Linked DNA regions of Macaca fascicularis. The protein of the gene in region 3 interacts with the protein of the main gene of each other region in a pairwise test. Links are inferred from orthologs where the notes say so. Each region holds a gene or a part of one and is shown on either strand. Other genes may lie near its edges. The genes, in order: SPG21, CSTF2, TFG and ANXA11.

Evidence for each region.
Region 1: the proteins of TFG (region 3) and SPG21 interact in binary tests that used the Homo sapiens proteins (3 or more experiments, as listed by UniProt). The two-hybrid records come from large-scale screens. The link is inferred for Macaca fascicularis from reciprocal best matches to the Homo sapiens genes TFG and SPG21.
Region 2: the proteins of TFG (region 3) and CSTF2 interact in binary tests that used the Homo sapiens proteins (3 or more experiments, as listed by UniProt). The two-hybrid records come from large-scale screens. The link is inferred for Macaca fascicularis from reciprocal best matches to the Homo sapiens genes TFG and CSTF2.
Region 4: the proteins of TFG (region 3) and ANXA11 interact in binary tests that used the Homo sapiens proteins (3 or more experiments, as listed by UniProt). The two-hybrid records come from large-scale screens. The link is inferred for Macaca fascicularis from reciprocal best matches to the Homo sapiens genes TFG and ANXA11.

What each region holds. Positions count from the first base shown.
Region 1 is NC_088381.1:41,550,759-41,557,172, forward strand, and holds the end of SPG21 (maspardin), read right to left. Parts: intron 4,862-6,414; coding exon 4,721-4,861; intron 3,199-4,720; coding exon 3,082-3,198; 3' UTR 2,484-3,081; downstream 1-2,483. UniProt on the Homo sapiens protein: May play a role as a negative regulatory factor in CD4-dependent T-cell activation.
Region 2 is NC_088395.1:107,485,156-107,492,650, reverse strand, and holds part of CSTF2 (cleavage stimulation factor subunit 2), read right to left. Parts: intron 6,682-7,495; coding exon 6,603-6,681; intron 5,960-6,602; coding exon 5,790-5,959; intron 5,591-5,789; exon of another isoform or gene 5,458-5,590; intron 4,914-5,457; coding exon 4,777-4,913; intron 4,320-4,776; coding exon 4,200-4,319; intron 4,086-4,199; coding exon 3,948-4,085; intron 1,553-3,947; coding exon 1,429-1,552; intron 154-1,428; coding exon 91-153; intron 1-90. UniProt on the Homo sapiens protein: One of the multiple factors required for polyadenylation and 3'-end cleavage of mammalian pre-mRNAs. This subunit is directly involved in the binding to pre-mRNAs.
Region 3 is NC_088376.1:182,316,033-182,323,527, forward strand, and holds part of TFG (protein TFG), read right to left. Parts: intron 4,856-7,495; coding exon 4,709-4,855; intron 1,229-4,708; coding exon 1,064-1,228; intron 1-1,063. UniProt on the Homo sapiens protein: Plays a role in the normal dynamic function of the endoplasmic reticulum (ER) and its associated microtubules. Required for secretory cargo traffic from the endoplasmic reticulum to the Golgi apparatus.
Region 4 is NC_088383.1:66,603,731-66,611,690, reverse strand, and holds the start of ANXA11 (annexin A11), read right to left. Parts: upstream 4,507-7,960; 5' UTR 4,368-4,506; exon of another isoform or gene 4,300-4,367; intron 4,244-4,299; exon of another isoform or gene 4,067-4,243; intron 433-4,066; 5' UTR 249-432; intron 1-248. UniProt on the Homo sapiens protein: Binds specifically to calcyclin in a calcium-dependent manner. Required for midbody formation and completion of the terminal phase of cytokinesis.

The DNA.
Region 1 (6,414 bases), on a different chromosome or scaffold from region 3:
TTCTTTTCACAGATGTCTTTTTGTTTTGTTTTGAAGATTGAGTCTCACTCTATTGCTTAGGCTGGAGTGCAGTGGCACTCCATCTCAGCTCACTGTAACCTCCGCCTCTCTGGTTCAAGTGATTCTCCGGCTTCAGCCTCCCGAGTAACTGGGGTTACAGGCACATGCCGCTAGGTCTGGCAATTTTTTTTGTATTTTTAGTAGAGACTGGGTTTTTCTATGTTGGCCTGGCTGGTCTTGAACTCCCGACCTCAGGTGATCCAACCTCCTTGGTCTCCCAAAGTGCTGGGATTACAGGTGTGAGCCACCACACCAGGCCACAGATGTTGATCCTTAATAAACATCTTGCACCCCAAATTTCATCTCCACATCCACTTCAGCCTGAGACATAGGGGTGGAGGAGTGAGTGGGGGTGGAGGGTCTAAGATGGCTGCGTTCCTAACTGGGGATTCCAAGGAACAGTGATGCCAGGACCTAAGATAATAGGGCTAGACTACCAGCTTTAGCCTGGTAGTCTGTCGAAGGCTGGGATGCCTGTCAAAGGCTGGCCTGATAGGCCTGAGTACGCATTCAAGACCAGTACTCAAAATTGATCAGGGCTGGCAATGACAACTTGCAGTCATCAGGGTGCAGAGCTGGGGAGTAGTTAAAGCTGTCAGACGGCTCTAGTAGCCTCAGATGCTACTAGTTAAAATGTCAAGCTTCGCCCTTATGGTTTACCAAGTGTTTCCATAACTCACGACTGTTGTCAAGCCACAGATAGAGAAGACACTGTGGCCCCTTTGTGGAAAGATCACTGGTTTTAGGGATGGTCAGACTCAAGTTGGCATCCCAGCTCCACCCCTTACTGCTTGACCCTGAGCAAGTCTCTTGACCTCTCCCAGTCTCCAGGTCCTCACCTGTAAAGTCAGGATAATCAGGGCTGTACTGGGGATGAAGTCTAAGAAGGTATGGCCAACCCAATATTCCGAAACCTGGCACATAAAGGGAAAGAAGCGCTGATGCTTATTTTTCTGTCTAAATTGTACCTCAGCGAAACCAAGCAGTTGATGAGGGCAAGTTTTTGGTTTTTTTAAATTGGTAATTTCCAGTTAATAAATGCAGAAGGAAAGATAAAAATTAGTATTATTACTGTTCTGCAACCCCTAATGGAATGATGCATCTGTGCAATGGTCAGCAGTGGCAGGTAAGCCAGCAGACTTTCTCAGGACTGGATCAGGCTGATGATGCCGGAACACACCCAGCAATCATAACAACTTAGACACAACCAGATGTGATGTGCCTCTTGAGATGAGGCAAGAGAAACACACAGCCCCACCTATGCAGTGTTCTTGCCAAAAAGATCGAGCTTGACCTGATCAAGCCTCTTGATGTAACTACCAGTTTACAGGAAATACCAGGGACAGAGAAACAAGTGGAAGGACACCATGAGGCTGCAGTTGGAAAATCTGGACTGTGGGGCAACTACAGGGCAAATGAACCTGCTTCTTCACTGAATATATGGCAAGAAAAAAATAGAGGGAGGAGGAGCTTCCAGTTCAAAAGGAATCTAAGAGACACTTCAATCAAATACAAAGTGTGGACTATATATGAAACCCGATTAGAACAAGTCACCTAAAAAAAAAATTATGGAATAATTGTGAGTGAGAACATTCACTGGATTATTAGACAATATAGTGAAGGAATTATTGGTAAATAATTGAAGGAATTATCGGTAAATTTTTAAGTGTGATAATGGTATTAAGGCTGTATTTTAAAGGTACACATAGAAATACTTACAGATGAAATGATACAGCACCAGAAATGGCTTTAAAATAATTTAGCGATAGCAGCATGTGTGGAAGAAATGCGGGTAGGTTAAAAGATGAACAAGGCTGGGCACGGCGGTTCACGCCTGTAATTCCAGCACTTTGGGAGGCTGAGGCGGGCGGATCACCTGAGGTCGGGAGTTTGAGACCAGCCTGACCAACATGGAGAAACCCTGACTCTACTAAAAATACAAAATTAGCCAGGGTGGTGGTGCATGCCTGTAATCCCAGCTACTCGGGAGGCTGAGGCAGGAGAATCGCTTGAACTCAGGAGGTGGAGGTTGTGGTGAGTTGAGATCACGCCATTGCACTCCAGCCTAGGCAACAAGAGCGAAACTCCGTCTCAAAAAAAAAAAAAAAAAGACATAAGCAAGACTGAGAGTTGATAATTTTTGAAGCTGGGTGATGGGGACATCATTTATTATGCCATTTCCTCTACTTTATGTGGGTTTAAACATTTCCACTCAGGGGAAAGAATGAAGATAAGAAAGGTACCTGGCACACAGTAGATCAATAAACGATAGCTTAGGGTTATTTTATGATGTGCAAACTGTACTTCTGGGAGATTAAGTAACTTACCCAAAGTCACACAGAATTGACAACCATGACCTACTTCTCAGAAAGTCCTAAGCCTGTGTAGCCCAGTTGGGCAGCAACAATAATCACAAAAGCGACTCAGTGAAACTGAATTTTTATTCCAAATGACTGTAATAGCTAGAAAGGCAGTAGCTAACACTCAAAACAATTTGCTTAAGTGTAAATTAAAAGCAGTTGATTTGCAGGAGAGCAAACAGTGGGGTAGTGGCCATGGCACTCTGATCATGGTTATATCCAAGAAAGCATAAAATAACCAATGTCCCAATATGCAATCTGGATGTGCAGCATTTACAGCAAACAACATAAAAAGAAAGAAAGAAGAATGGAAAAGAAAAGAAGGAAAAAACACCACAAAGTTCCAAACCTCAGAAGTTAACATTCATTTAAGAACACAGTGGTGAAGACTTTTGGTAGCAAAATTCGCATGGTTCTTAAAATGGGAATCTTCGAAAGTACTTCTTCAAATTCAAAAGCTAAGAAAACCAAGAGGGAACACTTGCTCAGGCTTAGTGGAGCTGCTGCCTGTCACGAAGATGACCATCAGTCCTACTTCCCAGACACAGTGAGAACCGGTGAGCTTGACGAACCTGAAGGAAAAGGCCGACTGGCGGGCGCTGATGCCACTGACTATACGAGAACACACCGGGTCAACTCATCATTGACAGCGAGACACACACTACTGCTCCTCCTGGTTGATGCCAAGGCTGCCTTTCTGTACCTCAAGCTCCTCGGCACTGACCATTGATGGGTCAATGGCTGCGTATTTGGTTCCATGGAATTGTAGCAAATGTATCTGTTGAAATGCAGAATCATGATTTTATTTTATTTTATTTTTTGAGCTGGAGAGTCACTCTTGTCGCCCAGGCTGGAGTGCAGTGGTACTATCTTGCTCACTCCAACCTCTGCCTCCCGGGTTCACCCAATTCTCCTGCCTCAGCCTCCTGAGTAGTTGGGATTACAGGTGCCTGCCACCACGCCCAGCTAATTTTTGTATTTTTAGTAGAGACAGGGTTTCACCATGTTGGCCAGGCTGGTTTCAAACTCCTGACCTCAGTTGATCCATCTGTCTCGGCCTCCCAAAGAGATGGGATTACAGGTGTGAGCCACCGCACCCTGCCAGAATCATTATTTTAAATAGCTGCATTACAGAGTAAAATGTATACTGCCCTCTATAAAAAGTTTGGTAGGAAAACATCACCATAGTAGACAAATGTCTTATACTTCTAAAATTTACAGACTAATACATACTAAATAGAGAAAAGTCAAAGAATTTTTTGAAACTACATTTGGGATCTTTGTTCCTCACTCCCTGAGCAGTCTCCCTGAGTCCCTGCAGAGTCTCCTGAGACATCTTAGACTGTGCATGCTGATGAGACGTTTACCCTTCCCTTCCGCTGAGTTAGGTCCTTCCAATCTTCTGCTACTGTGACTAGTGCTGCTATGATGAATATCTCCGGGCATCAAGTTTTCCTGTTTAGGATCCTGTCTTTAGGACCCTGTCTTCTATAAGGGGATGACAGGATCAAGGAATATGACTGGTTTTTTAAGGCTCTTGATTCTTCTTGCCAAATTGCCAGGGCACTCACCCTTCACTGCTATTCTATTATCCATTTAGTTAGAGTATGAAGGGATGGTGTTTGTTAGTGCTTTCTTTTTTTTTTTTTTTGAGATGGAGTCTTGCTCTGTCGCCCGGGCTGGAATGCAATGGTGTCATCTCGGCTCACTATAACCTCTGCCTCCAGGGTTCAAGAGATTCTTCTGCCTCAGCCTCCTGAGTAGCTGGGACTACAGGTGCACGCTACCATGTCCAGTTAATTTTTTTGTATTTTTAGTAGAGACAGGGTTTCACTATATTAGCCAGTCTGGTCTTGAACTCCTGACCTTGTGATCTGCCCACCTCAGCCTCCCAAAGTGCTGAGATTACAGGCATGGGCCACTGCGCTTGGCAGGGTTTTCTTTTAGTGCATTAAAATTAGATCAAGAAGTCACTTCACAAGACTCAGATTGACCCCATTTAGGTCGGATGTCTTGCTCTGACGGAATTCACTATGTCCAGAGGGCAAGGTCACATCATACCAATGGTAACCTCGGTGTGTGAATGCAGGCCTGCTGTCCTTAGAAAAGGGATCTCTAATACACCTGTTCACATTATCCTACAAATTATAAATGTAAACCACTTTTATCAAGTCAATGCCTCATTCCTACAAGGAATTCTGTAGTTCCCTGATTCCCTTACTAGTCCATTAAAAAAAAAGGCTTTATGTTGCAAACGTATGTTGGGCTCAGAGTGCTCTGGGTTTCAAGCTAGGCCTTACCTGTACATAAAGATTCACCTCTGCACTTCTGCACAGGTATGGGAAATTGCCTCCTGTTTTCAGGTGAGCTCTTCGGGCATTAGGATACAGCTTGTACATTTCTTCTTTAGCTTCAGTTGAAAGTGCACTCTGATCAAACACCTTTAAAAAAACATAAAGCTTCAGCACCATAGGAAAGGTAAAACACACACACACATACACAAAGCTGTAATCGATTGGTGTTTTAATATGTTCTTTTCACACTATGGAAATGCTACCCTAAGTATTCCTTTCATATGAAGAGACAATTCTGAACCCCTAGCAGCCTGAACTACCTCCACTGCTGATCCCTGGTGACTTCTAAGTCCAACCTAGGACAATAGCTACAGATTTCGCTGCAGAGCATCTCCTGCATTCTTTTGGTGGGGGGAAGTTCTTTTTTTTTTTTTTTTTTTGAGATGGAGTCTTGCTCTGTCGCCCAGGCTGGAGTGCAGTGGTACCATCTTGACTCACTGCAACCTCCACCTCCTGGGTTCAAGCGATTTTCCTGCCTCAGCCTCCTGAGTAGCTGGGATTACAGGCATGTGCCACCATACCTGGCTAATTTTTGTATTTTTAGTAGAGACGGGGTTTCACCATGTTGTCCAGGCTGGTCTTGAACTCCTGACCGCAGGTGATCTGCCCACCTCAGCCTCCCAAAATGCTGGGATTACAAATGTGAGTCACCGGGCTCGGCTGGGGTGGGGGGAAATTCTACCATGAACTTCCTTTTTCCTCAAATATAGCTAAGTAGATTAACAGAATAATAGAGAACAATCATTGCAAATGCCAATAAATTTCAAAAAGATCATGAGGCCCCCAAAGAACTTTTTACTTTTATTATTAACTTAAAGCAACAACCTAAGTCATTTAGGCTCAGTGAAAAAAATTCCAAAAAAATGTAAAGAGTATAAGCTACTCTTTCTTGGGGAAGCCAGTTTGCAGCATATGACTCTAGACATTTTTCAATACCCATATACATTTATGTTTTTACATGCAACAAAATTTTTCAAAAAGTAAAAGAAGCAAAAAGTATTGTACACTAAATATACCATACTAAATCTGTATGTTTAAGTGCATCTCCAACTAAAACTTATAGGCCGTTTTCAGTGACCATGAACCCAGGGGGTGAGCACAGCTTTGAAAGAAGAGCAAGCAGAGCAAACGTCCTGTGAGGACCATTGAAAAGCTTGTTCTATGTTACGGTAAATGTTAGAATGCAGCGATTATGGCAGAGGATAAGAAGTTGTTTACACGCTAATAAGAGATAATTTCCTGACAAAAACCGATGATTAAAAATACCATATTTGGCTGGGTGCAGTGGCTCATGCCTGTAATCCCAGCACTTTGGGAGGCTGAGGTGGGCAGATCATGAGGTCAGGAGATTGAGACTATCCTGGCTAACATGGTGAAACCCCGTCTCTACTAAAAATACAAAAAATTAGCTGGACGTGGTGGCGGGCGCCTGTAGTCCCAGCTACTTGGGAGGCTGAAGCAGGAGAATGGCATGAACCCGGGAGGCAGAGCTTGCAGTGAGCTGAGATCGCGCCATTGCACTCCAGCCTGGGCAACTGAGCGAGACTTCATCTCAAAAACAAAAAAACAAAAACCATTATTATTTGAATTTAGGAACAAATCCATTTATAAGGCAAAATAATCATATATTTTTTTTTCAG
Region 2 (7,495 bases), on a different chromosome or scaffold from region 3:
TGGGTGGTTAGTGGCTGCCATATTAGATACTGTGGATGTGGAACACTTCCAAGACCAATTCACATTAGTTAGACATAAACATTTATTTACCTTGTCCCCGTTCCATGGACACTGGTCCACTTCCTGGCATTCCAACCTGAGCCTGCATTCCTCCTAGAAGACAAAGGGCAGACAAGAAAAAACACCAATTAGAACAGCAGAAAAGAAAACTTAGAACAGGGGCTGAGTTTACAAATTTCCTCATTCTGCTCCACAAGCAGAAACCTACAAAGGAAGATATTCAACAATGCAATGAGATAGAAGATGCGGTTTGTTAGTATATTTACAATTTGTACTTTGTTTCAGTGACAGAATAGTGAGTTCAATAAGAAAAATTCATCTCATTGGTTACCAAACTCTTAGCAGGAAGCTCTTCTATAATACAGGAAAACAGTATCACTTACTCATGGATCTCCTCTCATGAAAGATAATCTAAATATAAGTATAACTCTATTAGGATAAAGCAGATACATAACAATCCTGAAGTAGATACAAAAAATTGCTGAGTTTGCAGAAATTTCTTTAAAAAATCTCTTCTTCCATTCCTCATCAACTTAGCTCTGCAGACTGGATTCTCTACAGAACAGGACAATTTAGAATTAAATCATTCTCCATGACTAGTGTTGTACTCAACGTACCCTAGATTAGATAAATTAACAAGAAGCAAGTTTGTTACATAAAAAAACTTCAAATATTGGTAATACATCATGTGTTCATACAGATGTTTCATACGGGGAATCATTATTTCACTCAATCTTCTTAGTTACAATTGTTGAACAAGGAACAGTTACAAGTATATGAGCAATACTATTATTAATTGCCTATCTATACACTTTCAATAAATGTATATAACTTTTAAGTTTCTCTTTTTCCCTTTTGTTGTTTGGTCTGATTATGTTTGTTAAAATACAATTTTACGTCAGTTTAATATGATATAACAAATGTGACCTTGTGTTTTTTTGTCTGTTTTCTTCATGAGCTTTTGAACCCAATAGTTCATTCATATTTAGCACAGTAACAACTACATTAGTTTTTATTCCTTCCATCTTACTCTACATTTACTACTACTTATTTTACACTGCCTCTTCCTTTTTTTCTTTTCTCTATTTTTGCTGGCTTGATTTCGTTTTCACTCATTCCATTTTCCCCCTCATTAACTTGGAAGTTTTACTATGCTCTTTCACTTTACTGTCCCTTTCCATGTTCTTATAATTAGACATGTAGGATTTAACATAAGAAATCTACTATTTCCTCCACCTAAGTTATATACTTTCTAGCTGTGGATTAATTTTACCTAAGGATCCCATTATCATATTTGGCTGCACTGCAGCAGTGCCTATGACAAAACTTTAGCGAGTACTGAAATGGCGAAGACTAAATGAAACTTACCTCCAGGAGCTAAGGAACCAGGGCCAGGTCCTGTGACAGCGGTTGGTATTTGCCCTGGTGCTGGAACTCCACCCTGCATAGAAGCTTGCATCAGAGGAGGTGCGCCATTGACATGCATTCCACCCTGACCAAGAAAAAAAAAAAACAGAGTATGTACATGCCTCGGTGGAGACTCAATACTAAGTCTATGACCTTAAAAGTCCTCTTCAAATGAACAGCCCCAAATATACTACCAAACATCCTTTTTGTATGGCATGTCTTATGCAGCATTAGATTTGTCACACACTTTAAACTCCACAGAAGCAAGTTGCAATACACATCATGAGCCTGGTTATATGGAACACGGTTAAGATGGAACATATTCTCAATGTAGAGATTGACAAGTCTTATCTGTGTGGCAAGGCAGCACATAGCACCTATTGTTAACTTCATGACTGGGGCCTGGCAATAAGAGTTTAAAAAAAAAAAAAAAAAGCCCTAAACCCAAGAAAGAAAAAAGGAGACTGGGCCTCTTTTTAAAAAAACACAACAACTGCTAGTAGTCCACATTTTTAAAATTAAATGTTCTTCTTCTTTTTTTTTTTTAAATTTAAATTTAACCAATCTTTTCTCACTCCTGTCCTTAGACATAATTCTGGTTCTGGGGGAATGTGAATTTTTTTTTTTTAATGCTACATTAAAACTCTTTGAGAAAAAGAGAATGTCAACTTTTCATCTGTGCATTCCCCAAAAAACTGCGTAGTCCCTTGAAAAAGAAACAGCTCAATAAATAAAGAATAAAAGCCAAGTTATATAAAAAAAAATTACATACACGTTTAAGGAACACAAAACTCTACAACAGAAAAGGAAGAGCTGTATAGGAAGGTAGTTAAGAGAAAACTGGGTATGAGGTCAGATAAAACCAGGTTCAGAACTATATCTGCCACTTACAATTGTGTCCATTTTTGGACTAGCTAACCTCTCTTTTCTATCTCTGAAAACGTATTTATTTATTTAGAGCAGGAGCTGGCAAACGATGACCCATGGGTCAAATCGGGCTCACTGCCTGGTTTTGTAAACAAACTTTTATTGGAACACAACCACACACACTTGTTCACATATTGCCTATGGCTGATTTCATACTACCATGGCAGAGTAGCTGTGGCAGATCCTGTGGCTTGCAAAGCCAAAAATATTTACTATCTGATCATTTACAGAAAAATGTTTGCTGGCTCCTGCCCTATACCTCTGCCAATCTGAGAGATGAAAAATGGTAGCTTATTGTAGTTTCTATTTACATTATCTTTTAACGTTACATGTATTAATAATTTATTACATTATCTTATTTTGAGGTTGAATACATTTTTATATATTTACTTTATATTTCTACTTTTGTGAAATATTTATGTCCATTTCCCATTTTTCTACTGGGTTATTGGAAATTTTCTTACTAATTTATAGGAGGCCTTTTAAAATGTATTATGAAAAATTACAGATATACAAATCATATAGGAAATAAAATAGCCACGCAGCTTGGGAAATAAACAATAAAATACACCAATGGCCTGTATGGTCTTCCCCAATTGCATCCTGTGCTCTCTTCTCCTTAGATGACCGCTAAGACATCTTCCTAATGTTTTAAAATTTTATAGGAATCATTACATACTCAATATATTATTTTGAAACTCACTCCACATATTTTGGGGATTTATGCAGAAACATATATCCTACATTTCGGGAATGCATCCACATTCACTTAGTTTCATGTCCGTATGTTATTGTTTTGGAGTTATTTGTGTTGATATTATGTATCCTAGTTCATCTTAACTGCTGTATGGAATTATGTTTTTCAGAGTCATTCATGTTGATACGTGTAGTTCATTTAACTGTTGTACAGTATTTCACTGGATGAATGTACCACACATTTTCTCCATTCTTCCATTGATGTACATTTAGGACATTTCCAATTTTTCACTCTAAGGCAATAAACATTTCTGTGCATGACTATGGGCTCTTTATTAGTCTGTTGTCCATCACATGTGTGGCAAATACTTTTTCTCAATTTGTCATGTCTTTGATACTTATTTTTTTCTTTATATAGAAATTTTTTAGTTTTCAAATGTATCAATTTTTTATGGCTTTAGGGTTTTGTGTCATGCTTTGAAAGCAAGCTTTACTTTTTTCATTGGTAAGAATGGAGATAATAAGAGTGCCAACCTCATACAATTGCTTTGAGGATTAAATGAGATAATGCATATGGAATAACAAAGTGCCAACCACAGTGCCAGGCATGCACATACACACAAAGTTAGCTTATAAGAAAAGGGCATACAGGAAGGATCTCTTTGTTTTACAAACTTGGAATCGAATCTATATTCATTCAGATGTCATGTGCTCTGCAACCTGGAAATTGCTTTTATGCCTGGAAATTGAAATTATCATCTCTGGTTCCTGACCATTCTTCTTTCAATATATTCTCCTAAAAAGAAAATGACATTCTAAGACAGATAAAAAAAAAATGTTAAGGGATAAAGCCCTACCAAAGACTGGGCCTGAGGGGCCTGAGGATTCTGCTGGTTCATTGACACATTGGATCCTGACCCAGGCCCAGCACCATGGACTGGCTGAGGGTTGCCTGCAATCAGCGTTGGGATATTTGTCTGGCGATGCAGAATTTTCTAAAAAGTGAAAAGACAAACCTATAAGCTGTCTGTTTAACAAAGCAATCAGGTAGTTCCTATCCCACTCAAGGTTTACCCGACCATTTCCATAAAAGAACCAGAAGCACTCACCAGGGCAATTTCCGGATCCACAATTCTCATCACTACCTGTGCTTGCAGCAAAGCATAAGCCAGTTGAGGGTTCTGAAGCAACATGTTCCGTGCCTCCTGGGGACTATTCTGGACACAGAGCTGAGAAGATAAGCAGATTCAGGTTTAATACTTATGACTTAGAAACTGATAGTGATTTAGAGTCATTCCCCTCTGAGAAATGTAATATTCAAGAGGCTCTTTATCATTAGTTTTTGCATGGCACAAAAAAACCTTGGTCATGGCAGGCAAGAGAAGAAAGAGGCATTTCAAATACTGTGATACTATCATTTAGGAAAAAAGCCAAATTTTAATATCTACATCTGACATCTATGGGCCACAAAAATCCAGCTGGATTGTTTGGATAGCTGTGTTTGTGTACAAAAATAGAAAGCTCTTTGTACAAAATGTAAAATATACTGTGTACATACAGAATATTGAAGGTGCAAGAAATGGTGGTCTACAGACAATTTCTATTTGAGCTCAGGGAACTGATTCAATTAACTCCTTGAAAACCTGATGTGGTTTGCTTTATTCATAACCTAATGCCTCCTCCCACCTTCATTTGTTTCATCAGCTCAAACATCTGCTCTGGTGGAAGGCTGGCAACTGCTTTGCTAATGGACTCAGGGGCATCCTCAGGACTGATGGTCTCTCCATAAGGTGACTCAATGACAGGGGCACCAGTGCCAAGGCCTAATCAAGAAGAAAGTACAAGAAAGTTAGGGAGGCAAAACAAAAAGCTAAATCATTTCAAGTATCTATTTTTCAGGGCTGCTGTAAGAACCAGCTGATAATTTTAGATTCTCCAGAGCTGAGAAATAAATGATTTGAAAGCCTCTTGTTTCTGTGGAGGAAAGTGAGAGTGTATTTTCTGTTCTCAGAGGAAAGCTGGGGATCATGATCACATGGAAGGACAATGTTAACCTAAGTTAGAGAACTGGGAACACTGACTTCTTTTGACAAGTCATTTCAGAAACAAAATGTTAAAAGAGAAAAACATGCTAATTTCAAAAACTCCTGAAAACAGTGACAGGAATGACTAATGCCATAGTTAGTACTACTAATGGCTTGATGAATTTGAATTCATCTTTAACTGGAAATAACTCCTTAACAATGGAAAAATTTCGTTTTTTTTTTTTTTTTTTTTTTTGGAGACAGTCTCACTCTGTTGCCCAGGCTGGAGCAACTGAAGCATTTCTAATGTCAACTTTACAGTTTCTTAAAGATATACACTTACTAGCAAGTCTCCAGCATGCTTAGGTCTGCAGTGACCCTATGCATTCCTACAGTGCTTGCCAGAACAGTTTTGAAATGGTTTGAGGCCTTGCCCTGCTCCATCCAGAGCAAGGGTATAGAAATTTCAGACAATTACTTGAAAAAAAATTTATAAAAAATTTTTTAAAAGATATATATAATACTTGCCTAACTCAGGCACATCAGATCAGTCAAGTAATAAACAAGCTGTGTGGCTAACCATTTCAGCATATTCTAAAACATAGCAGAAACGGAAAATCTTCATTGTTACATCTTTACTAACTCACACTGCATCCAAGTTGGATTTGTACTCACTCTTCAGCTCTTCTTTGTTCTTTTCACTGGCAGCATTGTCCACTCGAAGTGCTCTCCCACTGAATTCACGCCCATTCAGGTTCCGCATGGCACTAAGTGCTGTCTCTTGGTCTTGGTATTCACAGAAGCCATAACCCTTTGGCTTTCCTGTCTCTCTATCATATACCAATCTGGAGAGCAGAACCAAGTGTCAGGAACAAATGTTACACACATACAGGGTTCCTGCTAACATTGCCATGCTTTAATTGGGCCCACTGTAACATAAATAACTTTACAGCTCTGACAGCCTCACAGAAATATTTTTTAAAACTTTTTCTTTTTTTTTTCCCTGAGATAGAGTCTCGCTCTGTTGCCCAGGCTGGAGTGCAGTGGCACGATCTTGGCTCACTGCTGTCTCCACCTCTTGGGTTGAAGCAATTCTCCTGTCTCAGCCTCCTGAGTAGCTAGGACACAGGCATGCGATACCACAGCAGCTAATTTTTGTATTTTTAGTAGAGACGGGATTTCACCATATTGGTCAGGCTGGTCTCGAACTCCTGACCCCAGGTGATCCGCCTGCCTCGGCCTCCCAAAGTGCTGGGATTACAGGCAAGAGCCACTACGCCCTGCCTAAAAAACATTTTTAATGAAAAAAACATATTTTAGGTAAGAATAAATGTCAATTGTATAGTATATCAATTATATCTAAATAAAGCTGTTACAAGAATAAAGTGTATGTGAAAAGTCACCAGTAAAGAAAACCTGCCATTACTAAGAGCCAAATCTGTGGTAATTTTTAAGAAGCTCCCACCATGAAGTAAAAGGGGATCTCACCTGAAACTAACAACAGGTCCAACCTCAGAAAAGATGTCCTTCAACTGTTCTTCAGTAGCTTCATAAGGAATGTTCCCCACTAAGGAAGAAAACAGGTAACATTAAAATTCCGAGTTTATAACATAGATCTTTAGTGAGAAAGTAAATGACAGAGTATCTACTTATATCATCAAATATAAGGCTCAAAATAGTGTTCTCCAATCCCAATTCCACTGTATTTCTCTAGACCTCTTAACAAAGGAAATGTACCACTGAAACTAAATACAAAATGTGTAGGTACTCTTAAATGTTAATTCTCAGACTGATCTGACAAGTGTTAGATTTTCCTTAACTTTGGTGAAAATAAATACTTCGGCACTGGTATTTACCTAAAGATCTGCAAGTCTCATCAGTGACTACAAAAAATATCAATGTTTTTTAATATAATTTTTAAGACAGGTTCATATGTATTTCCACACATACAACATTTAAGGGAGAATGACCATGAATGTAGTGAAGGATGTTTAAAAATTATTCTGAACTACTTTGTCATGTCCCTTTCAAATGGCACTCTAAAATAATCACACGTATTTTTAAAAACAACTTATTTCAGCCAAAAAGATAATTCAGAATCATTTCGATCCTTTTTAAAATTCCTCTGAGGAGGTCTTAACAGTTCATTCATTCATTCATTTACAAGACATCTCAGGACACCAGGTGGCCTCTACTACTATTGATGAACTAAAATGTTACGGATAAAAAGCAAAGGATGAAAGTCCTTACGAGAGAACAGGAAGTGGACACTAGGATCTATACCCTCAGCATATAGTCTGTATTCTGGGGCAGAGGATGAGAAGTAGTACGGGACAGTGAGGAGCTGTTGCCATGCGCCCTCTCCTCTAGAGAATAATTAA
Region 3 (7,495 bases):
CTCAAAAGAATATAAAGAATCCCAAGTCACTACAACATATTAACCAGAATGTCTAGTTTTCGACCAAACACTATTAGACAGGCAAAGAAACAGAAAAATGTGACCCTACGGGAGTTGGGGAGTGTGTGTGGGGGAGAGGAACCCGGTCAACAGAAACTGACTCCAAATGGGTCCAAGTGTTAGATGTTGCAGATAAACATTTTAAAGCAGCTATTCTAAATATTTTTAAAGAATCAAACATAAATACATTCAAATAATTAAAGGAAAATGTAGTCTTAATGAATGTCAAATAATCTCAACAGAAAAACAGAAACTATAAAAACTCAATGGAAATTCTAGAACTGAAAGCACAATTAAATAATTCACTAGAAAGGTTCAACAGCATATTAGAAATCACAGTGACCCTGAAGAGTTCAACAGAAATCACCCAACCTGAAGAACAGAGAGAAGACTGAAGAAAAATGAACCTTAACGACCCATGAGAGAGTATCAAGCTCTCTAATGTGTTATTAGAATCCGAAAAGAGAAAAAGAAGCGGGAAAAAATAATAAAGAAATTATAACCAAAAGTTAAAAAGAATAAAACAATATAGGTACTGCTTTAAGGTTAAAAATTTGTTTATATACAAATCCACTCTATACTCAAGCAATTTAACCAGAAAATCTACATATAATTTTCAATTTCTCTAAGAGAAAAGACAAATCAAATATAATTCGAATACTGCAACTAATCAAATTATAAAATAGTTCAGATTTTTGCAAACTTTCTAAATTTTACTTTCAAAAATTTACTTGAACCCAACAGTGGTTATTCTTTAAGGGGGAGGGTGCTACTGTTGGGGAGAGGACATAAGAAAGTTTTCTGAGTATTGGAAATAATCTACATCTTAATCTAGTTAGTCTTTTACATAAGTGTACAAATATGTAAAAATTTGTTAAACAGAACACTTAAGACTTGTGCACTTCACCATATCCAAGTTATTCTTCAATTAAAGAAAGAACGAAAGGAAAGAAAGGAAAGATGAAGGAAAGGAAGGGTATAAAGGAGTTGGAAACTAACTTACCTGAAACCTGATCATCTGTTAAGCCAAACGCTGACATAACATTTTTATTGATTTCATCTTGGTTTTTTAAAGGATCAAAAGCAGACATACTTGCTGCCATAACCTGAGTAGACTGTTTTCCAGAAGAATCAGAAGCAGGCTTTTCTTCCCTACCATCCACAGTATCTGCAAGAAGAGAGGAATAAACAAAAACGTGTTTCCTTTTTATCTATACTCGGTAAGGCCTAAACGTACAAGATAGGGAAATAACGTATGTGTACAACGATAGTCTGGAATATTAAGTATGTCTGAATATAAGATTATAAATCATTTTACTTTCTTTATACTTTTTTGTATTTTTACTTCTAGTACCAGGGAGGAGAGGGCAAAAAGAAACAGAAGATTAACAACAGCTTTTCCAAAAAAGTTATTTACCTCCTTTCATAAGAAATATTAGATGAAAAAAATACAAGCTCCTGGATAAAGAGAAACATTTTACTGTTTTGGTTTTTTTTTGGAGCCCAATGACCTATATCCTAGTATCAGATACCCACTGGGCACTCTGGAAATAACAATTATAGGAACTAAGGCTTTATTTTATAAAAAGAAACTTAACTAAAGTTATAATCTCAAATTTAACATTTCATTTTTACTGTCTAGTGGTCCACTACTAAATTACATGGAAATCAAGCCAACCATAATTAATTCATAATCTTCCATAAATAGCACATTAAAAACATTTTTGAATTTGCTACCTTCTATTTTAATATGTATTACTTATTAAAATACTTATTCAAATGCTTACAGATAAAATGATGTATATGGGATCTGCATCAAAATAATACAGGAGGGGAGCCGGGTGCGATAGCTCATGTCTGTAATCTCGGCGGGAGGCCAAGGTGGGTAGATCACTTGAGGCCAGGAGCTCGAGACCAGCCTAGCAAAACCCCATCTCTACCAAAAATACAAAAATTAGCCAGGCACAGTGATGCATGCCTGTAATCCCAGCTACTCAGGAGGCTGAGTCACAAGAATCACTTGAACCCAGGAGGAGAAGTTTGTAGTGAGCTGAGATCGTACCACTGCACTCCAGTCTGGGTAACAGGAGTGGTGAAAGTGTGTGTACCATAATTATATGATACCATAAGTTGGTAACTGTTGAAATTGTATGTGGGTTTATGGGATTCATTATAATGTCTACTTTCGTATATACTTAAACTTTTCTATAATAAAATGTTTAAAACAACAACAACAAAAAACAAAATGTTAAATATTATAAGCAGGTTAAATTTAAAATCATGCTTTTCTTCTAAGGATACTAAGATATTCCACAGGCATTTATACTACTGTCTTTCGAAAGAAAGAGTTCAAGAATAACCTACATTTTACAAATAGGAATCCAAGTCCAAGATACAAAAGACATCAAAACAAACAAAACACACGAACAAGTAAACAAAAGGACTGTTGTTAATCATTTACTCAATTAAGGAACAATGATTATCACTTTTGTTACCAAGTAAGTAAATGAATATCTGTTCTTAGATCACCCCAGTAATCAATACAAAATGTATCTTCTGAAAAAAACTAAGTGCTAAAGGAATATAAATACCCACAGCACACACTGGCTGGCAGCTCATTCATTCCTAACATACCATTCCAGGCTACCCTAATATTTTCTAAGTTTTTGGAAAAGGAAAACCCCTAGAACTATTCCTTTAAAACACGTCTACCAGTTATCTACCTTCCCTACCAAGTTCCTTCCTCTAATCCCAAGAGCATACCACGTCACTCTTACCAATTGTTTCCCCTCACATCTCACTACCTATGCCTCTTTTCACTTATCACAAACTATAACGATCAGGAAACACACTATATGTCCTACTACTTGCTCCATTAACTGCTGGAGATACTGCCAACAGGTCAATCTTCTATCTAAGGTAGTTTACACACCATTTGCCTCTTGGAGGAAAACAAGCATCCAAGAACCACTGTAATAGAGAGCTGAAGACCACAGGCAGCCATGTTTCTTGGTGAGGGTAATCCACAGGTTCTGAATAGCACTGATAGCTGATTGGCAATTTCATTTTGTGGACTAGATTTCAGTTTCTGATGTAGGGCGCTTTTTTTTGTTTTTGTTTTTTAAAATTAGAACTATCTCTAAAAATAAAATGCAGATTGTATTATTCTTATATCATCTTATCATCAGATACGTCAGACAGGACACAATAACTAGAAGATGGCCATACAAGAAAACAACACATGGCATGACTTCCAAGATGCAGAGAAGAAACCAATTTTAACATCTTTTACGTTAACATAGGTAAAAAGCTAACAATAATATGTATAAAAATACAGAAACAAAGAATGAAGTATAAACAGTAGCTAGAAATAGGTGAGGAAAAAGTTTCACCTAAACCAACAAATTCATAAATCCATTCCTGAGAGTAGAATGTGGGCCACTGTAGCTAATTTCTGAACAGTACTGGCTATACTGGTTAAATTCTCATCTACATTTCTTAATATTTTGCAGATGGTTAAATCCCCTGAAATTATATGCAAATGTTGTGTCAGCATCTATGAATTCTTCTAGAAAAATTGTCCCATTATGTTCTGAAATAGAAGTGGAACTAGAAATCACCAATCAATCACCAAATATTTATTAACTATCTATCATTAACATAATTCCACATGATTATTAGAAGACAGGAAGAGAGTAATGATGGAAAATACGTCTTTATTTAAACTGTAACTAAAATAAACACAGAAAACAAAAACTCCCAAATTATTTAATGGCCAAAAACAGAATACATGCCATTTATCCACAAAAATTATCTTGTGTTAAGCCCTTTACATGCAGTCATCCAGACCAGACTTCTTTTTAATTAATTTCACAATATGGACAGTTCTAAACATATGAAAATTATAAGCAAACAAGTTGTAAAAAATAATGAGTTTTCTTTAAATGCAACATCTAAGAATCTTAAAAGAAGAAAGCAGTTTTTTAACTCTACTTTCAAGTCATAACACATACTTAAATTTCAGTCCACATTTTAAAATACATTTGGTCCCAAAATTATGTCAGTTCCAAATGTCGATACTTCTTGCTTTATCTTAACACAAATAGTACATGTCATCTATAAAATGGGGGAAAAAAAGTTTTTCTTTAAATATTATTAAAAATTGTGTTTCAACTTTACAATGTACCATTTTTAATGAATATTACTAATCTAAGTGATTTTTAGTTGAAACTACTTCCAACACTACGTAATATTCATGAAATGATTTTCAATTCCCAAGGTTCATTACTTACCTATTATACTAAAAAGGGTCATGTGTCAAGAGGATTTGAAAACTGACCTGTGTAACAAATCCAAAAGTCTAAGACTAGTTGTGAACGAATCACCCAGAAAACACTTTAAAAATGGGATTTCCAGTTCCTAAACTCCAGTAGGTCTATGATGAGATCCAGGAATTGGTATAATGAAACCTCCTAGTAATCTTGATGAACAGCAAGGTTTAGGAACACAGACATAAATACTAGTAGAGAGGCAGAGGAACAAGAGTGACACTGGGGGTGCCATCCTTCTCCTACTTAAAAAGAGTTTTTACAAACCTCCAAAAAGACGTAAGAACAATAAATCAGAATACAATGGATTCAGGGTTTACCATTTTCAGGAATATTGGTGGAAGGTCCAGGTTCTCCAGGTGGTTCCAAGCTATCCAATAAACGATTCACTTTATTTCGAAGTTCTATCAGTTCTCGACGGAGATATTTCACCTGACTTGATTCAAGGGGTCTTGGCTGGCCATTAACTGAAATAAAAACATTTATTTGCTTAAAATTAGAAGTTCATGAATAAGTATACTAATAATATGCAACAAGGAAAAATAAATACAATTCCTTTAAAAAAACAAAAACAAGATATTGATGTCATGGAGTAACTTTTTTTAAAAAAAGGAATTCTCTATGGCTAATAACTTATTTTGGGAAAAAAGTCAAATGATTTGATGCCAGACCAAATGATTTTCAGTTGACTGAAAAAAATGAATTCCTTCATTCAGCAACAAACACTGTCAACACTCAGGTTATTTTTAAAAAGAAAAGAAAAAAAAGTGACACAAGGCTCTGATTGCAAACCCCAAGACAGGAGTTCGAAAATTAAACTAAAATGCTTTATGCATTGCCAGTATACATACACACAAACTCCTGAAGCACCTAATTAGAAAAGGCCATCTATGTGAAAATAAAAGTTCAGGGCAATTCTTTGTTAAATATGTTTCGAAATCAAACCACCAATTATAAGCTTTTAGAAAAAAACTCACCAGTAATTCACATACTCCCTGCATAGCTATGAAGTTCAATACAATCTCCTACCTACATCAATTAATTATTGGTTTTCACTTGGTATTACTGTTTTTTCTCCCATATTAGAGGAGAAAAATAGCTCCTAGCAGCCAGAAACTGGTCTGGTATAGTAAGATAGGCCTTAGTGTTGCTAGAGGCTGGCCTGGCACTCACAGGTAGGCTGTGGTGTTCTCCTGTTGAACATAAATATTTCAAAGAACACCAACATCACAGAAGACTATCATCTGTGATAGATCAACAGTCCATAACCATGTCAAAATTCAGACAAAAACAAGAACGCTGACCACACCAGAAAAATGACCAAACAACCTTTTATCCTGGCTAATATGAGTGACTGCTACTGCTTTACCAACTACAGCTTTAGTCTCAAGAACCTTGCACTTACATGCCTAGTATGGCCTATAATCTGTTATTATCTACTTAGTGGGTTTAAGAGCACTAAGCTCCAAATTATATTCAATTAAAAGTTTAAATTAACTAAGTTTAAATTAATTAAGTTAATATTAGTTGTCAGCTTGATTGGATTGAGGAACGCCAAATGATTGGTAAAGTACTGTTTCCAGGTGTGTCTGTGAGGGTGTTTGTTACCAGAGGAGATTGACATTTGAATCAGTGAACCAGGAGAGGAAGACCCATCTTTAGTGTTGGTGGGCACCACCCGATCAGCTGCCAGCGCAGCTATGACAAAACAGGCAGAAGAAGTTTGCTTGTTGGGTCTTTAGCTTGCTCTCCTTCCTATGCCAGATGCTTGCTTCCACTCCTCCTGCCCTTGGACATCAGACTCCAGGACAAGAGACTCCAGTTTTGGCCTCTGGACTCTAGGGCTTGTATTAGCAGCTTCTCAGGGGACTCTCAGGCCTTTGGCAACAGACAAAGGCTGCACTATCAGCTTCCCTGGTTTTCAAGCTTTTGGACTTGGACTGAGTCACTGAGCCACTATCAGCATCAGCTTCTCTCTTTCCCCAGCTTGCAGATGGCCTATCATGGGACTTCACCTTGTAATCACCTTGCAATTCTCCCTAAAAAAACTCCCATGTATCTTATTGGTTCCATCCCTCTGGAGAACCCTAGTACACATAATAATGTATCTTCATTAGTGTGAATATAATTGGAAGACTTTAATGAACCATTTCAAGCACACAACAAAATACTTACTAAACACCCATCTTTGTTAAAGCTTTATATATATTTATATTTTTTTCAAGAAAGAGTCTTGCTCTGTCACCCAGGCTGTAGTGCAGTGGCCTGATCCCAGCTCACTGCAACCTCTGCCTTCTGGGTTCAGCAATTCTGCCTCAGCCTCCCAAGTAGCTGGGACTATAGGCGTGCACCACTACGCCCAGCTAATTTTTTTTTTTTTTTTTTTTTTTTTGGTAGAGACAGTGTTTCGCCATGTTGGCCAGGCTGGTCCGGCCTCCCAAAGTGATGGGATTATAGGCGTGAGACACCACGCCTGGCCAAACCTTAGTATTTTTTTCATCTTTGCTCCTAACCACTAAGAAATGAAACAGCATAGACATAATTAAATCTCCCAGAGTACCTTTCCTTAAAACCCATTCCCCTACTCGATTTTAAATAATTTTATGTTTCATCCAAAACAATCTAGACTGTTAGGTTTATTCCAACTATGTTTCGTTGTATATAATTGGTATGTTAGTTACATTTATAATCCTTTTTTATTAGGCACAGAGCAGTTGTTCTATGTAATAAATGCCCCCATATGAGGTAAAATAATTCCCTTTTGACCAGGCGTGGTGGCTCACAACTGTAATTCCTGCACTTTGGGAGGCCGAGGTGGGTGGATCACGAGGTGAGGAGATCAAGACCATCCTGGCTAACATGGTGAAACCCCGTCTCTACTAATAATACAAAAAAAAAATTAGCCAGGCGTGGTGGCGGGCGCCTGTAGTCCCAGCGACTCTGGAGGCTGAGGCAGAATGGCGTGAACTCGGGAGGCGGAGCTTGCAGTGAGCATCGAGCCACTGCACTCCAGCCTGGGCGACAGTGAGAGGCTCTGTCTCAAAAAAAAGAATTCCCTTTTATTCATAGTTTGCTATGACTTTTCAACATGATTGAGATATAAATGG
Region 4 (7,960 bases), on a different chromosome or scaffold from region 3:
GGATGTCGGTGGCAGGCCATCCACATGTTCCCTTCTGGGATTGGAAAGGGAGCAGGAGGGTAAATCGAGGCAACAGGGTCAAACACGTCCTCCTCGCCTTCAAAGCCACCATTTCAGAGCCTGTCTAAACTTACTATCATCAGATCCTCATGTCCTGCTACTCCTCACCCATTCATTCCAACCTCGCTTCTGCTCCCATCATCCCACCAAAGCAGTGAAGGCAGCTGCATCTTCTCCATGTCACTCACCACAGCCGCGATGCCAAGCTGACTACTCCATCCCACGAAGCAGACTCACCCTGGCTCCTGGGATACAACTCTGTGCTGGCTTTCTGGGCCCCTCTCAGGCAGCTCTTTTTCTGGGTCCTTTATAGGCTCATCTTCCTTTACTCAGCTGTTCAAGGTGAGTTCTTCCATCTCGCTGTGCCCATGACTTCAAACACAAACACAACCTAGACAAATGTCTGTCTAGCCAAGACTCCTCCTGAGCCCCAGACCCACCAGCTTATTTGGTATCTCAAAGATACCTCAAACATAGTATGTCCAAAACCAAATACATGATCTTCTTCATCCTCCAAACCTGGTCCTCATCCAGTGTCCCATGTCTCAGGGACACCAGGGGGATGACTCTAGGGTGAGTGGGGGCGGTCTCTTCTTTTAAGCACAGCACGCAGGGTGAGGCCAACAGTGGGTTCTCAGTAATGAGCCGTTCTACCGGAACATGCCTTGTCACCTACTTCCTAAAAATAGCCGTGACCTTTTTAGTGGACACAGCAAGCTCACATCTGCTATCACCACTCCTTCCCCACTGACACATGCACCCTTTCCCCCAGCGGTGCCACTCCCCAGGCTGGATGTGCCATATGCTCTCCAGCCTCCCCGTGGGTAGCCTCCACATTTCTCCTCTCTGCCCTCACTCAGATTTCCCCCCATCTCAAGTCCTCCAAGTCAGCCACCCCCAGGTGTGAGGGGCAGGGGACATCTGACTTCCCTCTCAATTTCCTTTCCTTCTTTTCTGCTAAGGCGGAGCCTAAGCCCCTGGAAAACTAGAGATCTCAGAACCAGGCTTTGACCACGGCATGCTCCACCCGCTGCTTCACAACTCCTGGCAGTCACACACCCACCATATCAACATTGTCATCACTACCCCCAACTGATCTCAAACCCCTTTGCAAACATCTTCTCATCTGATTCTCCATTCCAGGCAGGCATTTTATTATCCAGAACTGTTCTGTGTGTGGGGGGCTCAGTGTAGCTGGGTGGCTTGTCCCAGGATACCCAGCACAGAGAACTCTGTCCCCCAATTTCTTGGTTGCCCCCACCCATTCCTTCCTCACTTCAGCATGGGCAAGGCCAACTGTGGTCTGGGTCACTGTTCAGGCTGTACTTTTAGGATCCTCCCAAATAACAAACAACTATGTGACTATCAGGTCTTTATTTCATGGGTTATAGGAGACAGGATCAGTAGGCCTAATGTGTAACAGTTTCAGCGGTTATCAGAGAGTTCCACTGAACTGCAACAATTCCCTTTAAAAGCACAAATGCCCACCAAGAAAACCTCAGTTTCTTCATTCATCCTAACAGCTTTCCTATCTAGGTATCACTCAGAATTCCCACTATTCTGGGGGTCATGGGATCAGAGAGTGCTGCAGAGAAAAATCCACAGAAAGTGAAAAGTCTGTTTCCTTGGCAGTGCTGGTGAAGCACACCCTTGCACACACGCTTCCCCACGGGACCAAGTGCCAGGAACTGCTTCAGGCTTATGGGGGAAGACGGTGGCGAAGAAGAGAGAGGAGGCCGGGCACGGTGACTCACTCCTGTAATCCCAGCACTTTGGAAGGCTAAGGCGGGCAGATCATCTGAGGTCAGGAGTTCAAGACCAGCCTGGCCAACATGGTGAAGCCCCGTCTCTACTAAAAATACAAAAATTAGCCGGGCATGGTGGCGCATGCCTGTAATCCCAGCTACTCAGGAGGCCAAGGGAGGAGAATCATTTAAACCCAGGGAGCAGAGGTTGCAGTGAGCCAAGACTGTACCACTGCACTCCAGCCTGGGCGACAGAATGAGATCTGTCTCAACAAAAAATAAAAATTAAAAAAAGAGGGAGAAGAGGAGTGAATCCAGGAGGAAGGAGGGGGTGCACCAGAAAGGTCCTGGAACCTCTGATGTTCCAGCATTCAGCATGCATTTTGGTTCCACATTCACCTCCTGCCCACACCAGTTTCTTTTCTCTATTCTACAGTTCCCAAGAAGAACCCACACTAACCTATTCTGTCTCAACTCCCACTCCTGTCATCCCAAGTCACACATCACCTCCCCAATCATGTGAACTAGGCATCACTAATCGATCCTGGCCTTCTAGATACGTCCACCCAGGGTGAGCCCTTTCTATAATATCATGCATAAAGGCATCAGATGGGGCTTCCACTCCCACCTCTTAGTCCCAATTCATCTCCATCTCACCCTCCCCACATTTCTCTGCCTATCCAAATCCAGCCTTCAAGGTCCTATACTTTAACCACAGGGAAACTACTTCCCTGTGCTGCCTCTGTTGTTCAACTAACGACAACTAATTTTCTGAGCACCTACATTAGGCAAGGCCCATCCTGAGTGCTACCACCAAGAGGTAAGTCAGAAACAGCCTCCACCCTCCAGAGTCAGAAGACAGGGCAGAGATAAGCCACATGGCCACACAAACACTACGCACAAGGTGAGAGATGAGAACTGAGTCAGTGCTGGAGGGGCTGAGTGAGCTCAGAGCATATCCCATCCCTCCTGCTGGGCAGCAGGCACCAGGATGGCTCCCAGGAGGGTGGAGAATCCTGGGCCAGACGGGGAGGGAGGGCATTCCAGGAAGACAGACAGCATGAGCTTAGCATGAGCTAAGCCAGAAAGACGGTTCAGGAGAAGCGCATTTCAACTTTAGCTGAACCTTCCACTGCTACTATTTACTGACCCTTATACCTGATTATTTATGACCCAGGCCTGCCTCACACACTTTATGGCTAATCTGGGTGACACCCATCTGGGACACACAAGTGTGGTACAGCAGTCACCACCTGTTCTGACTGGTCCGTACCTGAGCGCTGTATGGTTATTAAATGAATGAATGCACTGAATCTCACAACAAACCTGTGAGGCAGGGATTAGTATTATCCCCATTTTACAGATGAGGAAACCAAAGCACAGACAATAGTCAGAGACAAGATAGCAAGGTATGCAGGAGCCTGAAGTAGTGGGCACCCAATGCCAGGGCAACAAACTGCCCTGGCACCTCACCTGGCCTCCCTTGTCAGGGAACACCTTGCAGCACAAAGAATGCGTTTAGGAAAGGGGGCCTGTTAATCCTCCTGGAATCCCCAACAGTTGACTGCCGCATAAAAGGAATGAGGAAAGCAATGAGAGAGCCAGTGAAGGGTGAGCATGCCCTGCAAACCTTTAGTCCCTGTTGCGTGGGCAGGGCAGGGGCTCGGCCTCACAGCTCCACTCCATGCCTAAGGCAGAGAACAGATGGGAGAACCACCACAAACGCCCAATCTCTACAGAGAGGTCACTGATTGGAGGGCAGAGACAGAAATGCCCCGGGCCGACTGTTTCCAGCTTGGGCTAGCACTGGCTGGCTTAACTTTTCCCCTCCAAAGTCTCTAGGTGACAAATTTCGCGTGTCTCCTTTAAACCAACAGACCGTTTTACCTTTCTAAGTCTTAAGGGCCTGGCCTGCACCCATGGGGAGATACAAGTCCAGGAATCCCTTCCTGAAACTGGGGATCAAAGTTGGGGAAGGGGCGAAGGGAGGCACAACATCGGGGATGGCTCCCGCATTCTCTCAAACATTGGGGAGAGTTCCTTACAAATAAACTGCAATGGTAGCAGCTCCCATGAATGTGCGTGCTCCCAGTTACGGAGGAAAGTTCCTGAAGATAGCCTTTTCTGCTTGCTCTCCCCCAGCCTTGCCTGAAAGAGCGCGCGCACCCCGGAGGGCCCCGCGGGGCTGCGGGGCTCGGCCTCCGGCATCCCTCCAGCCACCCGTTGCCTCCTCCGCCCAGGGTCACGGCCCCCGGCCTTACCCAAGCCCAGACTGAGACGCTGACCCCTGAGCCCGGGGGGGCCGGCGAGTGCACCCCGACCGCACAGGAGGGGGCAGCCCCCGACGCCGAAGCTTATTGAGGGGGCTGCCAAGCCGACACGGCCAGCCCGGGACCCGCCGACGCCTCCTCTGTCCCCCACCCCCACGCCTGTAATGCAACCAGGAAGCAGCAGGGCCGCGCTGGGCTGGGCGCGGGGCAGCCCCGGGCCTCACCTGCGGTGCCGCGGTGCACTGCCGCCGCCTGGTCCCAGGCCCCCGGCCGGCCCGGGACCCTCACTCACCTGGCCACGGGGACTCGGGACGCGAGGGGCGAAATGGGACTTGGGCGGGAGTGGCTCTCTCCGCGGGCGTCCCGGACGCGGTGCCTGGGTTCTGCCTGGCGCTGTGTCCCACTCCCGCTCGCGGGGCACTCGGGGCACTGGGGAGTCGCGGGCGCCGCAGCCTTCAGGGCGGGGCGGGAGGAGGAGCCTGCCGGGCGGAAAACTCCGCGGGCGCGGTTGCCCCAGGCGCCGGGGGAAGGGCAGGGAAGGGGCGAGGCCTGAGCGCGGCCCCGCCCCGAGATGAGGCTTGGGCAGGGCGGGCCCGCGAGCAGCAGCGCCCTTCCGGCTGCGCAGCTGCTCCAGGACGTCTCCGGCTCTGGAGGTCCCTCTGTCGCCCCTAACCCCCTGCAGCGCCCGGTGCAGCGCAGAGCCGCATTCGCCCTCCTGCAGGGGTGGGCATTTCCTAAATCCTCTCCAGCCCCGTGTGCGTCGTTAGTGACTCTCTTTAAGGTAAAGAAAACTTTTTACACTGAAAAGGTCAAACACATTTCTTTCATATCAACACTCAGTGGTGGTGGAGGGGGGAAGGTCACGCACAGTATGTGAGGAAGGGAGCGGTCAGTAACTATCATGGAGAAACCTGACCAACCACCCAGCCGTCAAGGTGACCTCGACAGCGGTAAATCATACTGATTGCATGCACCGCTTGTGGTCTTCCTCCCAAGAACACCTAATCCCACTGTAATCATGAGAAAAACATCACAAATCAATTGAGGCCCTTGCCATATACATGACCAGTACTCCTGAAAACTAGCAAGGTCATCAAAAACAAGGAAAGTGTAAGACACTGTCACAGCCAAGAGGAACCCACGGAGATATAAAAATGACATGTAAAGTGGTATCCTGAACGGGATCCTGGACAGATAGTAGGTAGAAACTAAGGACAACTGAATAAAATATGGACTTTAGTGCGTCAGTTTTGGTTTATTCATTGTGGCAAAAGCGCCACACCAATATAAGATGTTAGTAATAGGAAAAACTCGGGTTTATGAGAACTCCCTGTATTCACACTTTTTCTGTAAATCTAAAGACGTTCTAAAAAAAAAAAAAAAGCTTATTTTTAAAAGGTCACACAGGTAATATATGCATATATGGTAGGTATGCAATTTTTTTTTTTTTAATGTGTGGTGGCTGACACCTGTAATCTCACAGCACTTTGGAAGGCCAAGACAGCAGGATGGCTTGAAGACAGGGCTTCCAGACTAGCCTGGGCAACATAGTGAGACCCGGTCTCTAAAAAACTGAAAATAAAAAATTCAAAAAATGAATAAAAATTGAGATTCACTCTTCTCTCCACTCCCCCAGCCCACTCTTAGGCGTGTCCTTCCAAAATATCTCTCTTCAATACTGTGTGTGTGTGTGTGTGTGTGTTTACATAAACGTATTGTTTACAAAACAATATTGCAGTACTTTTCTGCAACATGTTTTTTTACTCACTATATCTTGGAGGGTCTTTCCATAGAAGCGCTCCCGAACAGACCTAGTTCTTCCCATCCGCTGCACACTGCGCGCCATCGTGCACTTCACCATTCTTCACTACCTAGCTCCTTACTGAAGGACATTTAGGTTGTTGCCTATGTTTGACTGTTACAAACAAGCTGCTGGTGCGATTTTCCTTTTTTTTTTTTTTTTTGAGATGGAGCCTCCCTCTGTCGCCCAGGTTGGAGTGCAGTGGTACGATCTCGGCTCACTGCAACTTCCGCCTCCCTGATTCAAGCAATTCTCCTTCCTCGGCCTCCCGAGTTGCTGGGTCTACAGATGCTCACCACCACGCCCGGCTAATTTTCATATTTTTAGTAGAGACGGGGTTTCACTATGTTGGCCACACGGATCTCGAACTCCTGGGCTCAAATGATCCGCCCGCCTCGGCCTCCCAAAGTGCTGGGATTACAGGCGTGAGCCACTGCGTCCGGCCCGATTTGCGTTTTAAAGTCGCTCCGAACAATAAAAGCGGGAAGGGCTGGAGGGGAGGCTCTGACCTTCTCCCTGTCTGGGCAGCTGTGCTGGTGCCGGGCAGGAACAGCGCCTTGCCTTGGGGCATCCTGGCCCCGGCCTCACAACCGGCCCTGAGCGCTCAGTCATATTCCGTGGCCGCTCCAACACCCCCGACCCCCACCAACAGGCGCGGCTCTCTTTCCGGGCTGGACCACATTTTTTGGACATGAGTCCGCGAGTGAGGGTGAAATTCAGGCCAAAGTCTCCAGAGCGGCTCGGAGAAAACGTCGCCTGGAACTGAAGAGCAGAGGGTCAGAGGCACCACCAGAAAGACTCTCAGAGTGGGTTACTACCCCGGTGGCGGCGCCCGCTGCGGCGTAGGAGATGGCAGGACTGAGGGCGCGGGTGTGAAGCCTCCAAGAAACTGGGTGAAGTTCCTGGAGTGGTAATGTCTCCAGGCGCTCTCTCTGGGCCCGGGGATTGGTCCGGGAAGGACTCCTGGCGCCGACCCAGCCCCCCTGCATGGACGCCTGCGCCAGCTCTGCAGCCCCACAGCGACCGCGAAGGCCAGCGTCTTTGAATGGCCCATTTTTCTCCGTGGCTGAGCGAATACCTAGAATACCAAGTTGATAATAAATCACGTAGGGTGGAATTCCTGCTGGATGTATACACCTTTCTGCGTCAGAGCTCTTCGAACCTAGAATGGTGAATTAGCTACCCCTGGGCTTACCCTTTTATAATTTTCAACAAACCTGCGTTTAGCCCCAGCTAGGTGCCAGCAAGCTACTAGGGACTGAGGAGCCTCTGCAGAGGACCCGAGCTGAGGTCCTAATCCTCAAGGCCAATGTCAGGGGTCACTGCCCAGGCACCCCCAGAGAACGCGGTGTGAAGGAAAAGACACCAAACTCGGTGTTCAAATGTGTGGGATCTATTCTAGTTCTGATTCTGACACTTGCAAGTCGTGCATCCTCCGAGCCTCGGCTTTCTCACCTATAAAATCTTCAACGTGACCTATAAAAATCCATAAAATCACCGCTGCTTCATTGTTTCCCAGGGCTCATAGAAACATCACACGAGGTAAGGGAAGGTGAGTGCCTGGTAAAAAATGGTGACTTGCTATATAGCTCTGAGTAGTATGGTGTATAAAGCTTCGTTTTTAAAAAAAATTTTATTTTATGTGAGTCAGGGCGCCCGGCCTCTTTTGTTGTTTTCTAATGAGTATATATGACTATCATTTCCCTCAAAAGTCTGCTTTAGCTGAATATCACAAGTTTTAATATGCTATGCTTTTGTTATCTCTTAGTTATAAATATTTGGATTTTGTTGTTGTTGTTGAGACAGAGTCTCGCGCTGTCGTCCAGGCTGGACTGCAGTGACACGATCTCGGCTCACTGCAACCTCCACCTCCGGGGTTCAAGAGATTTTCCTGCCTCAGCCTGCTGAGTAGCTGTGGTTACAGGTGCGCACCACCACACCCAGCTAATTTTCATATTTTTAGTAGAGATGGGGTTTTACCATTTTGGCCAGCCTGGTCTCCAACTCCTGACCTCAGGTGATCCACCCGCCTCAGCCTTCCAAAGTGTTGGGATTACAGGTGTCAGCCACTGTGCCTGGCCAAT